3 linked regions of the Mus musculus genome follow. The protein of the gene in region 3 interacts with the protein of the main gene of each other region in a pairwise test. Links are inferred from orthologs where the notes say so. Each region holds a gene or a part of one and is shown on either strand. Other genes may lie near its edges.

What was found.
Region 1: the proteins of Prr22 (region 3) and Nelfa interact in a two-hybrid assay, tested with the Homo sapiens proteins (2 studies listed by BioGRID). The two-hybrid records come from large-scale screens. The link is inferred for Mus musculus from reciprocal best matches to the Homo sapiens genes PRR22 and NELFA.
Region 2: the proteins of Prr22 (region 3) and Grb2 interact in a two-hybrid assay, tested with the Homo sapiens proteins (2 studies listed by BioGRID). The two-hybrid records come from large-scale screens. The link is inferred for Mus musculus from reciprocal best matches to the Homo sapiens genes PRR22 and GRB2.

What each region holds. Positions count from the first base shown.
Region 1 is NC_000071.6:33,919,229-33,922,872, forward strand, and holds part of Nelfa (negative elongation factor A), read right to left. Parts: intron 2,790-3,644; coding exon 2,618-2,789; intron 1,426-2,617; coding exon 1,264-1,425; intron 1-1,263. UniProt on the Homo sapiens protein: Essential component of the NELF complex, a complex that negatively regulates the elongation of transcription by RNA polymerase II.
Region 2 is NC_000077.6:115,705,688-115,710,012, forward strand, and holds the start of Grb2 (growth factor receptor-bound protein 2), read right to left. Parts: upstream 2,911-4,325; 5' UTR 2,707-2,910; intron 1-2,706. UniProt on the Homo sapiens protein: Non-enzymatic adapter protein that plays a pivotal role in precisely regulated signaling cascades from cell surface receptors to cellular responses, including signaling transduction and gene expression.
Region 3 is NC_000083.6:56,768,935-56,772,748, forward strand, and holds Prr22 (proline-rich protein 22), read left to right. Parts: upstream 1-1,341; 5' UTR 1,342-1,405; coding exon 1,406-1,517; intron 1,518-1,601; coding exon 1,602-1,667; intron 1,668-2,092; coding exon 2,093-3,183; 3' UTR 3,184-3,200; downstream 3,201-3,814. Other genes in the region: Dus3l (tRNA-dihydrouridine(47) synthase [NAD(P)(+)]-like), read left to right, coding at 116-191, 316-504, 600-728, 802-874.

The sequences.
Region 1 (3,644 bases), on a different chromosome or scaffold from region 3:
AGTCCTTAAAAGCTGCTATAAGACTGTTTAAAATAATTAGAAATACAAGTTAATAGTCAATCAAACATATGGTCTTGTAGGAACTTCTTTATTTATTTACAAAATTAAGCTTTATTTAGAGGTAGATGTTCTCAATGTTAATCAGACAGTAAATAGAAACAATTCAGATATACTATAGACAGATGGTCTTTAAATATAGCATTTAAAGATGCTTTATTAATTTAATCCTTCTTTGATAATAAGACAGGTCAGCTCCTGGCATCACCCCTACTGGGCTTCAAAGAAGATGCTGAGCATTAGAGTTTGCTTCAAAAGTGGTAAGCTAGCCAGTGGGCAAGGAGCTACCCTTGCTTCATGCTGACAGAATGCTGCTGTCCAAACTGCACAAATGGGATGCAGGGAAGTTGCCTGCTGAGGTTTGCCAAGACAAGATGAGCAGTCCTTTTCTATTTCCTGTTTCACAAAAAGGCCTGTCAGGTATTCTGGGCTACAAAGCTACAGATGACGCTCCTATGACTCAGAGAAATTTGGGAGGCTGTCCAGACAGCCAACTGTCTCTGTCACTGTCATAGTCTAGGAGCTGCTTGCCTACACTTCCTGCACACTCAGGTAATATTTATTCCTTCTCAGGTCTCTGATGGGGTTGAAGACTAAATAGATGTTTTAAAGTCTATGCAAGTTATGGTAAGAATGATTTAAGTACAGAACTCTAAACTCACCAGGATAGGATAGATGGTAGAGTACTTTATCCAAAGTTGCCAGATACATATGGACTAGACATTATAAATATAATTCTTACCTGATAATTTTTCATATTTGTTATTATTGTATATAGTCTACTGATGGAAAATAAAAGTCTTTTATCGGACTACAGGGGAACTTATAGAGAATATGTTGTATAGTGTATGGATACATCAACTTGTCAATAAAAACTCTGGCTTATAGGAAAGGGAGAATAGAAGGTGAGACATCTGGTAAGCAGAAAGGATTCTGGGAGAGAGCCAGGTGCATGGAAATTTGCCTGGGAACATGGGGGAGGACAGACGCATGGGGTCTGAGAGGAGGTAGGCATCCATGTGGCAGAACTTAGGTTAAAATAAATGGAATATTAAAGTATGAGCTAGTAAGAGAATGAGCCACAGCTTATGGCCAAGGTATCTGTAAATATATTTTGAGTCTCAGAGTCCTTATTCCAGGGGTTTGGGGCCTGAAGGGAAAACCCCACAGAGAAAAGAGCAGGGTTGCTGTGACCCAGGCACTCACATTTCTGCAGCAGTTCTGCCCGCAGCGTGGCACTCTTAGGTTTCCGCTTTAGCTGAAAATGCTTGACTGGTGGGGTGAGGGGCCCAGCAAGGGTGGTCAGGGCATTCTTGTTCAGGTACTGGCACTCCAGTGGTAGCATGGCAGATGCCTCGCACTCACTCACTGTGGAGAGTCAGAGGGTTAGAGAAATAGTTCTTACAACCCCATAGCTCACATGTAGACAACTCCATGAAGGCTTTCATTATTTATCACTGTGACAGCTTCTTGCTTTGGTTTCAAGCCCCTATCGTCCCCACCATTCCAGTTCCACCGTCTCTAGAACCCAAGATCATCCAGGTGCATCAGGACCAAAGAATAGGCCTGTCGCCCTAGAGGAAACCTCAGATTTTCCAGGGGCTTTTTAAAAACAAGAAATGCCTAGAAAAGAAGACAGGGTTCCTCAATTATGTCAGCCATAAGCCACTGGACTCCAGTGGAGGTCCAGGAACCACAAGCATCAGCATACAGCAGCATGGAGAACAGCCTCCTGCATCCTAACTACAAGGCAGATTCAACACCAAGAGGAACAAGTGTGTGGCTATCTTATCTTCCCCTTTGACTGCAGAGCCCTGGCGGTCTCTCCTGACTTCCTCAGAGGAAGTTTTCTAAAGCCACTCCCGTGTGCTTCCTGATTCGATGTGCTCACCAAGAGGCTGGAGCCTGAAAAACTCCAAAGAGCTATCCCAGTCAGTCATCTAACTAGGGGAAGCAGAATCATGAGAAGCAAGCTGCTTCACCCTCCTGCTGTCAAGTGAACCAGCCACCACGGTAGGGATGTGACATGTGCAGACCAATGCTCTGAGTCTGCAACTAAAATCAACAAAACCCCCAAACCTCCTAGGGCCTCACAAGCAGGCCTGTAGGAGTGTGTGACCTCGAGCCTCCAACTCCATCTTTCTGAGGCATAGGTCTTCATTCTCCATCAAGGGAGAGAGCGTCAGAGGCACAGATATTCCTACTCTCACCTCTCTAAAACCACAGTTTTCATCTCATAGTCTAGAAACTGATTTGTTGGTATTTTTTAATGAGTATCTACTAAAGGACAGAGAATGTTTTTTAGGCTCAGGAAACATAACCTGTAGGGTTTTCACCCTCAAGGAACTTTTGGGGAGAGAGAGCAATGGTCAAGTAAATCATGATGAGTCAGAGCTGCAGACACAGCACATGCAGTGGGGACAGGGTTGTGGCAAGTCAGACCGAAGCAGTCATGTGTATAAGGAGCCATGGCATACTACATCAAGGGTATAATAATGACAACATAATTTCTAAAACTAGAGCACCTTCTTGCCACTGCAAAATAAAGTTGGCTACTTACCTTTTTCTCTAAGTTCTCCTAAGATGTCTTGAACATTGGGGTTCTGTTCCTCAAGGTCCAGATTCAAGGAGCCCGTGTCAGGGAAGGACTTCAGAATGTCAGCAACCATGAGGACCCAGGGGTCTGAGTCCAGCGTGGCCAGCTGGATGATATCCATCAGAGCCGCCTTCATCTGCCAAGAAAGAAGACACCAAGTACATGTCAGCAGCCCCACTTGGCCTTCGGAACAGTGACAGCTTAAAATGTCCCCTGCCGTGACTGTAGGCTGGGATGGCTTTTCAGACTGTGCCTATGCTTCCTAACTCTCTCTGGTGGGCAGATATAACAAAACATAAGATTCAAGGAAACAGGGCTGCCATGCCTATACTTACGGAATATGTGCCTTTAATGGGCATTCTTTTGGCAGGCAGAATTGGGCTCAGGTTCAGTAACATGGAGCACCAAGGCAAGTGGGTAACCCATCATTTCTTTGGTGCAAAGGAGGGACAGGGACAAGAGCTTATACCATGAGCAACTGCCACTGCTAGTAATAGATAGATGCTTGAAGTTACAGTGTGCATAGGAGAAACCTTAGAAAGCTGGGCACATGGAATGATGCATGCAGCTTATGAGCTATGGACACCTACCAGAGAGTTAGAGGGGGCCAGGAAGTCTTAGGAAGTCTTTGCTGCAGCCTGTGTGGGAGCCTGTGGCTGAAGACAAGAGGGATTTGACCTCTACCACCTACAGGTAAGAGTGCTACCTAACCTGTGCTGCTTTGTCACATTAGCTGTGGTGGTTTGAATAAGAATGGCCATGTGTGGGAAGGATTAGGAGGAGTGATCTTACAGGTGTGTGTGTGGGGAGGGCAAGTTCTCCTACGAAGTGGAGAGAGGTGTGAAGCAGAAGTTTAGCATAGCCATTGTATATGGCTAATACAATGGCTTTGAAGTAGCCTTTTGTAAATAGTCAGTGATTGTTTTCTGAGGCTGAAGGGGTGGCTCTTCTGAAGGATTCAAAGAGCCTTTGCATAACTTAAAGGTATCCG
Region 2 (4,325 bases), on a different chromosome or scaffold from region 3:
GGTCAGGTTTAGGGACTTCTTGCAGCTATTTTGAGTCCTTCCGTTCACATTCTGCAATCTTGCCTGAGTTCTGCCACCACCTAGCTGTGACAGTGTCCCCTCCCAAGTGGCAGCAGAAGCACTGGGGTGGGGCTGAAGCAGAATGGCTCAAAGCAAAACCAGGGCCAATGGTGGCGCACACCTTCATCCCAACACTTCAACAGAAAGCAGAGGCAGGAGAATGTCTGTGAGTTTAAGGCCAGCCTAGTTAGTCTACAGATAGAGTTCTAAGAAAGCCAGGACTAAACAGAGAGACACTGACCCTGCCTCAAAAATCAATAGAGAAATAATTTGAGACCAACTTGGACAATACATCAAGACCTTGTCTCAAAAAAATTGAATAAAATTTTTTAAAAAGAATTATTTATTATATGTGTATGAGTACACTGTAGCTGTCTTCAGACAGACCAGAAGAGGGTGTCAGATCCCATTACAAATGGTTGTGAGTCACCATATGGTTGCTGGGAACTGAACTCAGGACCTCTGGAAGAACAGTCAGTGCTCTTAACCAATGAGCCATCTCTCCGGAGAGCCCATAAAATTTTTTTTAATTGGCAGGTTATGTTTATACATACAAATTTTAAGAATCACTGTTAAAATGAGGAAACACTAAGCAAATTTTAAAATTTGCATTTCAGATAATGCACTATGTCTGAACAAAGAAAATGATGCACATTAGACTTGGCACAACTCAGGGGAAAATCAACTTTGACAATCACAAAACAATAAATCTCAGTAACCATGGCCAATCAGCAGGTAACTAACTACCTCTCAGTGCTGCCTGTCGGGAGAGTGGCAGCTCTGTTTTGCCATCTCTGAAGTCTAACACTCCATAATTCTCTAAGGGCTGCTGTACACACGCGACATAGTGGAAATCATGAAAAAACCTCAGTAACACAGCAAACGGTGCTTAAAACCAACTATCGGGCCAGAGAGAAGAATATGGCTGCTCACAACCCTCTGTAACTCCTGTTCAAGGGGTATTGGTCCTCCTTTAGCATCTGAGGGCACCAGGCATGTACACACACACACACACACACACACACACGCCCGCGCGCACGCGCAGGTAAATACACTCAAGAATGTAAAAAACTTAAAAATCACTTTTAAAAGCCTGATTAGGACTAAATCATTTGTTAGGGTAGGTAGGTAGGCTTTAATTCACAAATATCAAAGTTCTCTTCTATTTCAAGCTATCTTACTTCACAAACTCCCATGGGTGATTTCTCACTTAACAATAGTTAACCTCACTAAAACCTTAAAAAGGAGTCTTTCAGCTCCCAAACTGACTCAATCTCCCTTACTAACAGTGAGGGGAAACAGGAGGGAGCAAGAAGGAAAATACTACGAACAAACCATGATCTGTGAAAAAAAAAAAACACCAAAATACAAGTAACACAAGCAAACAGGCAAAATCCACTTGTGAACTGGTCACTATCACTTACTTAGGGATGAATTCAGTCCTTTGAGTTTCCTAGTTCCCAGGGGGAGAACTTAAACAGCCCCCTACCACCAACACCACCACCCGCCCCCGCCCCCCTGGCTCCCAAGTAGCCCTCCTGGCTGCCTGATGAATACAGTGGACGTTAAAAAAGGAATGCAAACAGGGAAGGTATCTCCCTCCAAAAGAAAAGGGGATCTTAGAACGACGGAGAAAATGAACAGTGCCCAAACCAGCAGAAACTTGAAAATTATAACGGAGGAACAGCAAGAAGGGGAAGTAGATTTTTTTTTAAAGGGGGCGGAGGGACCAATGACTGGCGCTACAGATGCTTTTCGTGTCCCTAGTAGCGTAGAATGGAGACAGAAGGCAAAAACGGAAAAGTGAAAGAGAGGTGAAGAAGTCAAAAACAAAAAACAAAACAAAAAAACAACAACAACAAAACCCAGTTTCTCTAGCCTCTTTCTGAGTGTCAACAGCACCGAAAGATGACGTTGAACGCGCTTCGGCTACCCGGCAAACTGCACTGCTATAGCTTTTGAACACAGCCTAAAATCCCTTTCTTACCAACCCACACGACCTAAGAGTGTTGCAGGAACCAACGGGGCTCTCTCCCCAAAATTCCTTCCTTCCAGCATTCCTATCCGCTGCTGCTGCTGCTTCCCCCCCACCCCCCAACAAGTATTTTTTCCCCCTCAAGTCCTTCTAAAAAGAGAAGCGCCCAACTCTCACAAAGACCCGTCGGCGGGTCCGGGTAACAATCATTCTAAGTCACGGTGGATTCCCGCACACAATTCCACCGCAAGATGCCAAGAGGCGGTGACGTGGTGGCCTTGCAGGTCAAAGGAGCATCAATCACCACGTTAGCTGCGGGCACCGAATCCCCCGCCTCCCGGGCTCAGTCAGCCTGACTCAGAGCAGCAGCCTGCGCCTCTCGGCTGCTCCGGGCTCCCCAGCGTCCAGCCGGACGGCCGCCACACCAGACCTCCCCGGCGGGCCGGGTCTCTGCCCCCAGCGGGAGGAAGACCGGCACCAGGAAGGAAGCGCCCCAAAAGGGGAAACGAGGAGACGGCTGCGCAGCCGCTGCGCTCGGGTCCCAGCCTTCCCCGGCCCGCGAGCGGCCCTCCCCGGCAGCCCCGAGCAGCCCGGGCCCGAGCCGCTCGCCGCCGCGCGGCGCGGGGACCACGGAGCTCCCGCTCACTTCCCGCCCGCTCCCCTGCACTCACCGTGACGCGCCGTCCACTCCGTCACCCGGCCCGGCCCGCCCTGCGCTGCCGCCCGCAGCCGCCAACCTCGCTGCTGCTCCCTGACTGCGGCGCCCGCTGCCCCGACCGCCGTCCCGGCCGCAGCCCCGCTCGCTCTCGCCGCCGCCGCCGCCCGATCGCAGAAGCAACAGAGCAACCTAGCTTCCGCTCCTCGCCAGGGTCCCGCGAGAACTTCCCCACGCGGCCCCGCCCCGCCGCGCCCCGCCCCCGCGAGACTTCCCCCGGCGGAAAAGGCCCAGAGCGCAAGCGCTCCTCCTCCGCTCCGCCCGGCAGGTAGCCTAGAGGGGGGCTTCGCGCATGCGTCAGCTCGGCCCGCAGCAGGTGGCACGGACTCGGCTCCGCCCCTGGGCCGTTGTAACCCTCTACGTGCCGGAGCAAGTGAATTACAGCTCTGCTCTAGAGGAACGGCGCTTTCCACACTCTAATCACGTCCTTTCTACCAAAACAAAGCAAAGAGGCACCGAGGAGCGGGGAGAGATCTCAGGATGGCTCAACCCAAATAGAGGACCAGTTCTAGAAACGTTTGGGGATCTGGTTCGTGCAACCTGCAGTATTCGATGAATTGTTTGATTAGTCTGTTCACGCAGTGAACCACATACCCAGTGTAAGTAAGCACTGTGCTGGGTAAAGAAGATGAAACAACGAGCAGAGATCCTGGCCTTCAAGAGGTTAAATCGAGAGAAGCAGCAGAAGAGTAAACAAGTAATGTCTTGGCTGGAGAGACCTCTCAGGTCAAAAACTGCTTGCTGCTCTTCCAGAGGACCTGCACCCACACCAGATGGCTCACAACTGTCTGTAACCCCAGTTCCAGGAGACTTAGTGCCGCTGGCCTCTGATAGCACTAGCATTCACCTGCACACACCCTCATGCGCGCGCGCGCGCGCGCGCACACACACACACACACACACACACACACACACACACATACACACACAGCTATAACACTTACACATAGCTCTTTGGGGGAATGCTGAGGAAGCCAAAAAGATAGAGAAAGGCTGGCTCTGTTCCTCAGCCCACTGTATAAAAGACTTAACAAAGAAGGTGATGTGGAACTGAGTACTGGAGGGCGAGTAGGAGTTCCACAGCACAGGAGCCAGGGTAAGCGCTTAGCCAACAAACGGAATGGCACAGAACAGAGAGATGGATGGAGGCGTGAGAAAGTCGTGTTCTGTGCGATGCAAAGTGCATAGATAGGTTCCTGTGCGGGGCTGCCGGTTTTGGGGGAGTAGTAGATGAAGCTTGGAGAAGTACCTCTCAGTTCCAAAAGCTCTTTTCAATTATAGGAGAGCAAGAACACAGCCAATGTCAATGTGTTCTCTAGAAGCCAACAAAATACAGTTAAGAATACCCAAGCCTCTGCTACAATAATGAGTCCACTAAAATAAGGCAAGTGAATTGTTCTTTCGACAAGTGTTTACTGAACATCATTTGCAATTGAAAATGCCTTTCAGAGCAAAAGATGAAGCCAATGACTCCAGCAGTTTGCGATTTAGATAGAGCTACTTAGTTTCAAAGAGAAGAACGCTGGCCCTAAGTACCAGGGACCTACATATTAGAATGACCAGTTACAAAAGGGA
Region 3 (3,814 bases):
TCAACTGGGAAGACTGGGAGGGATGCTGGGTCCCTTGGAAATCTCCAGACTGATTGATGATGCCCCCCATGTCCATGGGGCCTGCCACTGTCAAGACCCCACTGTGTCTCCTCAGGAAATGGGGACATCCTTTCGTTTGAGGACGCCAACTGTGCCATGCAGACAGGCGTTGCGGGGATCATGGTTGCCCGGTGAGCAGCAGCTGGGCTGGGGCAGCAGTGCTAGGACCTTCTGCACTCCTGTGAGGGCGAGGCCTGGCTGTTGAAGGGACAGAGCTCGGAGGCACAAGTCCTCACTGGGCATCTCCCTCTGTAGTGGTGCCTTGCTCAAGCCCTGGCTGTTCACGGAGATCAAAGAACAGAGGCACTGGGACATCTCGTCCTCCGAGCGCCTGGACATCCTGAGGGACTTCACTCACTACGGTTTAGAACACTGGGGCTCCGACACACAGGGCGTGGAGCGGACCCGGCGCTTCCTGCTTGAGTGGCTCTCTTTTCTTTGCAGGTGGGCATTGGACAGGCAAGCAGCTAGGGTAAGAGATCGGAGCCTTGGGCCTCCTCACTCGGCCTTCTTGCCTCCCCTACCCTCCTGGCCCACAGGTATGTGCCCGTGGGCCTGCTCGAGCGACCCCCACAGAGGATCAATGAGAGGCCACCCTATTACTTAGGCCGTGACTACCTGGAGACACTGATGGCCAGCCAGCAGGCTGCAGACTGGATTCGCATCAGGTACTCACAGACCAGGGCTCTGCGAGTTGATGCTGGGAGGCCCAGGCCTGACCTGTCCATTTTGTCCCCACAGTGAGATGCTGCTTGGACCAGTACCTCCTGGCTTCGTCTTCCTGCCCAAGCACAAGGCCAATGCCTACAAGTAGCCAATACAGACAATAAATATTATTCTTCTATCATTTCTTTTATTTTGTTGGTTTTTTGAGACAAGATCTCCTGTTGTCTGGGCTGGCCTTGAACTCCTGGAATCCTAGGCACTCACCGTCCATCATACTTGGCTTTTTTTTTTTAGGTGTCCTGTTTTGCTGGCCAGTGTCCTTGTGACTTTGGTTTTTCAAGACAGGGTTGCTCTGTGTAAACCAGGCTGGCCTCAAACTCAAGAGAGCCACTTGTCTGCCTCTGAATGCTGGGATTAAAGAAGTGTACCACCACTGCCTGGCTCTCCTTGTGATTTTGAATTAGGTGACTTGCGTGAAGGCAGCAGCAGCGACCTGGCTCAGGGAGCAGAGGGAGTCACCTCTTGCCCACCCCCTCCCCCTCCCCCGGAACCCAAGTGATGAGCCTGCCCTGGACTGGAACCCTCCACCTAGCAACGGGGCAAACAGAACCCAGAGGGACTCTATCCCCAAGGTGCCTCTGCTGCCACCCAGGTCCCCCCGGGGTGGCTTGTCTCACCCATGCAGCATCCCAAAACCCTGTATCCCCCAGCCATATCCCAGGAAGGCTTCAGCCTGCAGAGCCTGGAGGGCCCTGAGGTGCCAGGTGGCCCAGAACCCCTTCCCACCGTAGGTACGATGGTGGTGGTGGGCAGGGGTGTGTGATGGCCATGGGGCCTGGGCTCCTGCCCCACCCACCGGGCACCTTTGTCCACAGCCAATGCTAACCTGCACTATCAGACCCCCGGCTCGGACCAGGATGTGCTTCCAGCCCCTCCAGCAGGTATCAGCCAGCACCCCTGAGCCCTGCTATGAGCAGGCTCCATACTCTCCCGAGATGAGACCCTAAAATGACCCTGGGTCCCCTCTGTACTCCAGACAGATTTCCCTATAGCTAAACTCATGTGTCACATTTCAAGTGACACTGGAGACCAAGCCGAAGCCTGTTTTGGTGATGGCAGCTGCTACTAGGCAAGGCTTTCTGAGAGGCCTGGGCACCCAAACTCAGGTCGCTGTTCCTCTGAGAGGCATCAGAGGAGAAAACCCCAACAGTTTCTCTGTGTCAGATGACTGGTAGTCAGGGCCAGGTCACAAGGCCCCTCTGAGGTCAGGGCTGTGTCCTATGTGCCTCGGCTTTGGGCATCCCGCCCCCCCTCCCCAAGGCCTGGTTGCCCCATGGAGCTCCACTCAGGTGTCTGCCACCCACAGGCTTCCAGATGGCTCCCTGCGGCTGCTTCTTCGACCCCCGAATCTACCGCATCGAGTGGGCCACCTCCGACTTTGGCCAGTCATCCCTGTACAAAGTGGCAGTGGCTGGGGGTCCTGCCTTGTCTGGTGGTTACTTGCTGGAGGCCCCATCCTACCTCAAGGCCCCGGGGCCACCACCTCTACTGTACCCCCACTACCAGCCGGCCCCCAGCGGGCCACAGTACCTCACACATTACCTTCCAGCGGAGGAGCCTGTGCCTGAGGCTCTGGGCTTCATGCGGGACGGAGGGCCTCTCAACTTCATGGAGATGCTCAGAGACCGCCTGGCACCTCCGCCAACCCCCAAAGAGACTACGCCATCTCCCTTGCTTATCACAGTCCCCACGGCACACACGCTGCCACCCGGGCCCTATGGCCATCTCGGTGGCCAAGCCAGCCAGTTCCCAGGACCCCAGGTGACCATGAGGCCCATTGAGGCTTCCAGGGAGCTGCAGAGCAGTGGTGTGGCCAGGCCAGGTCTGCGATTCCCACCCGGGCCTGTAGAGCCCAAGGTGGCCAAGGTGGAGGACGTCACCCCAGTGGGCTCAGGGGAGACCATGCCTGCCGAGGCGGCACGTGCGTTCTTCCTACCGGACAAGGTCCTTCTCGAAGATGCCATGAAACTTTTTGATTGTCTCCCTGGTGGCACTGAGCCTGAGGTGGCCTTGCACAGGGGTCCTGGCCCTGGACTGCGGGACAGTGGTGGCGGTGGGGATGACTTCCCAACCGACATTCGCTCCCTGCACCTGCCAGATGACCTGCTGTCCTTTGACTACAGTGTCCCCGAGATCCTAGATGCGGTGGCCAATGTGGACTACTTTTTCAGCTTCAAGGCCCTGGATGATGAACCACCAGTGCCGCATCTCGGGGTCCCTGCCACTGACACAGTGGCCCCAGGCCTGCGGTCCCATCAACTGGGGAAAAAACCCAGCATGCCCACCAAGAAAGGGAAGCCAGGCAGCAGACACAGGCAGACCACAGGCCCAGCTGACACAGCTGCCGCCGCCGCTGCTGCAGGACCCAGGCTGGACCCGGGAGCCATCCCCAATTAAAGCCATTTGATCTCTCAGCTGTATGTGGACACGTGTCCTGTGGCCACGACCAGGCAAGCCTGCTAAGACATTGGTGAGGCCAATGTGTGTGTGTGTGTGTGTGTGTGTATGCGTGTGTGTGCTGGGGGGGGTGGTGGGGGGGTGGCAGTCACATGCCTTCAGAGTTGAGCCAGAATCCTCAGAATTGAAGTGTCAGGCTGAACTGTTAGCCCTGCATTCAGGTTGCCTGGGTAGGGAGATTGCAGACCAGTCTGGGCCACAAAGTACAGCCTCATCTACAAGAAATGAAGATGGGGTGCTGTAGCTCAGTTGCTAGCATGTTGGGGCTCAGTTGGTACAGTGCTTGGGACTCAGTTGGTACAGTGCTTAGGGGCTCAGTCGTTATTCACAAGTATAAACTATGTTTGGTACCTGGTTGTAACCCTAGCACTGAGGAGGTAGGAGGAGACAGGATCCACATTTCAAGGCCAGCCTAAGCTTTCTGACACTGTCTCAAGAAGAAAGTTAATCACCTGGGGCTGGCCATGTTGGGAGGTCTCTTGAGAAGTGGGATTTTCTTTTCCAGACACCACACTGAAATGGGTTCCCTTGTATGTTTGGTGATCAGAGTCAAAGTGTCCTGCGAGGAGTG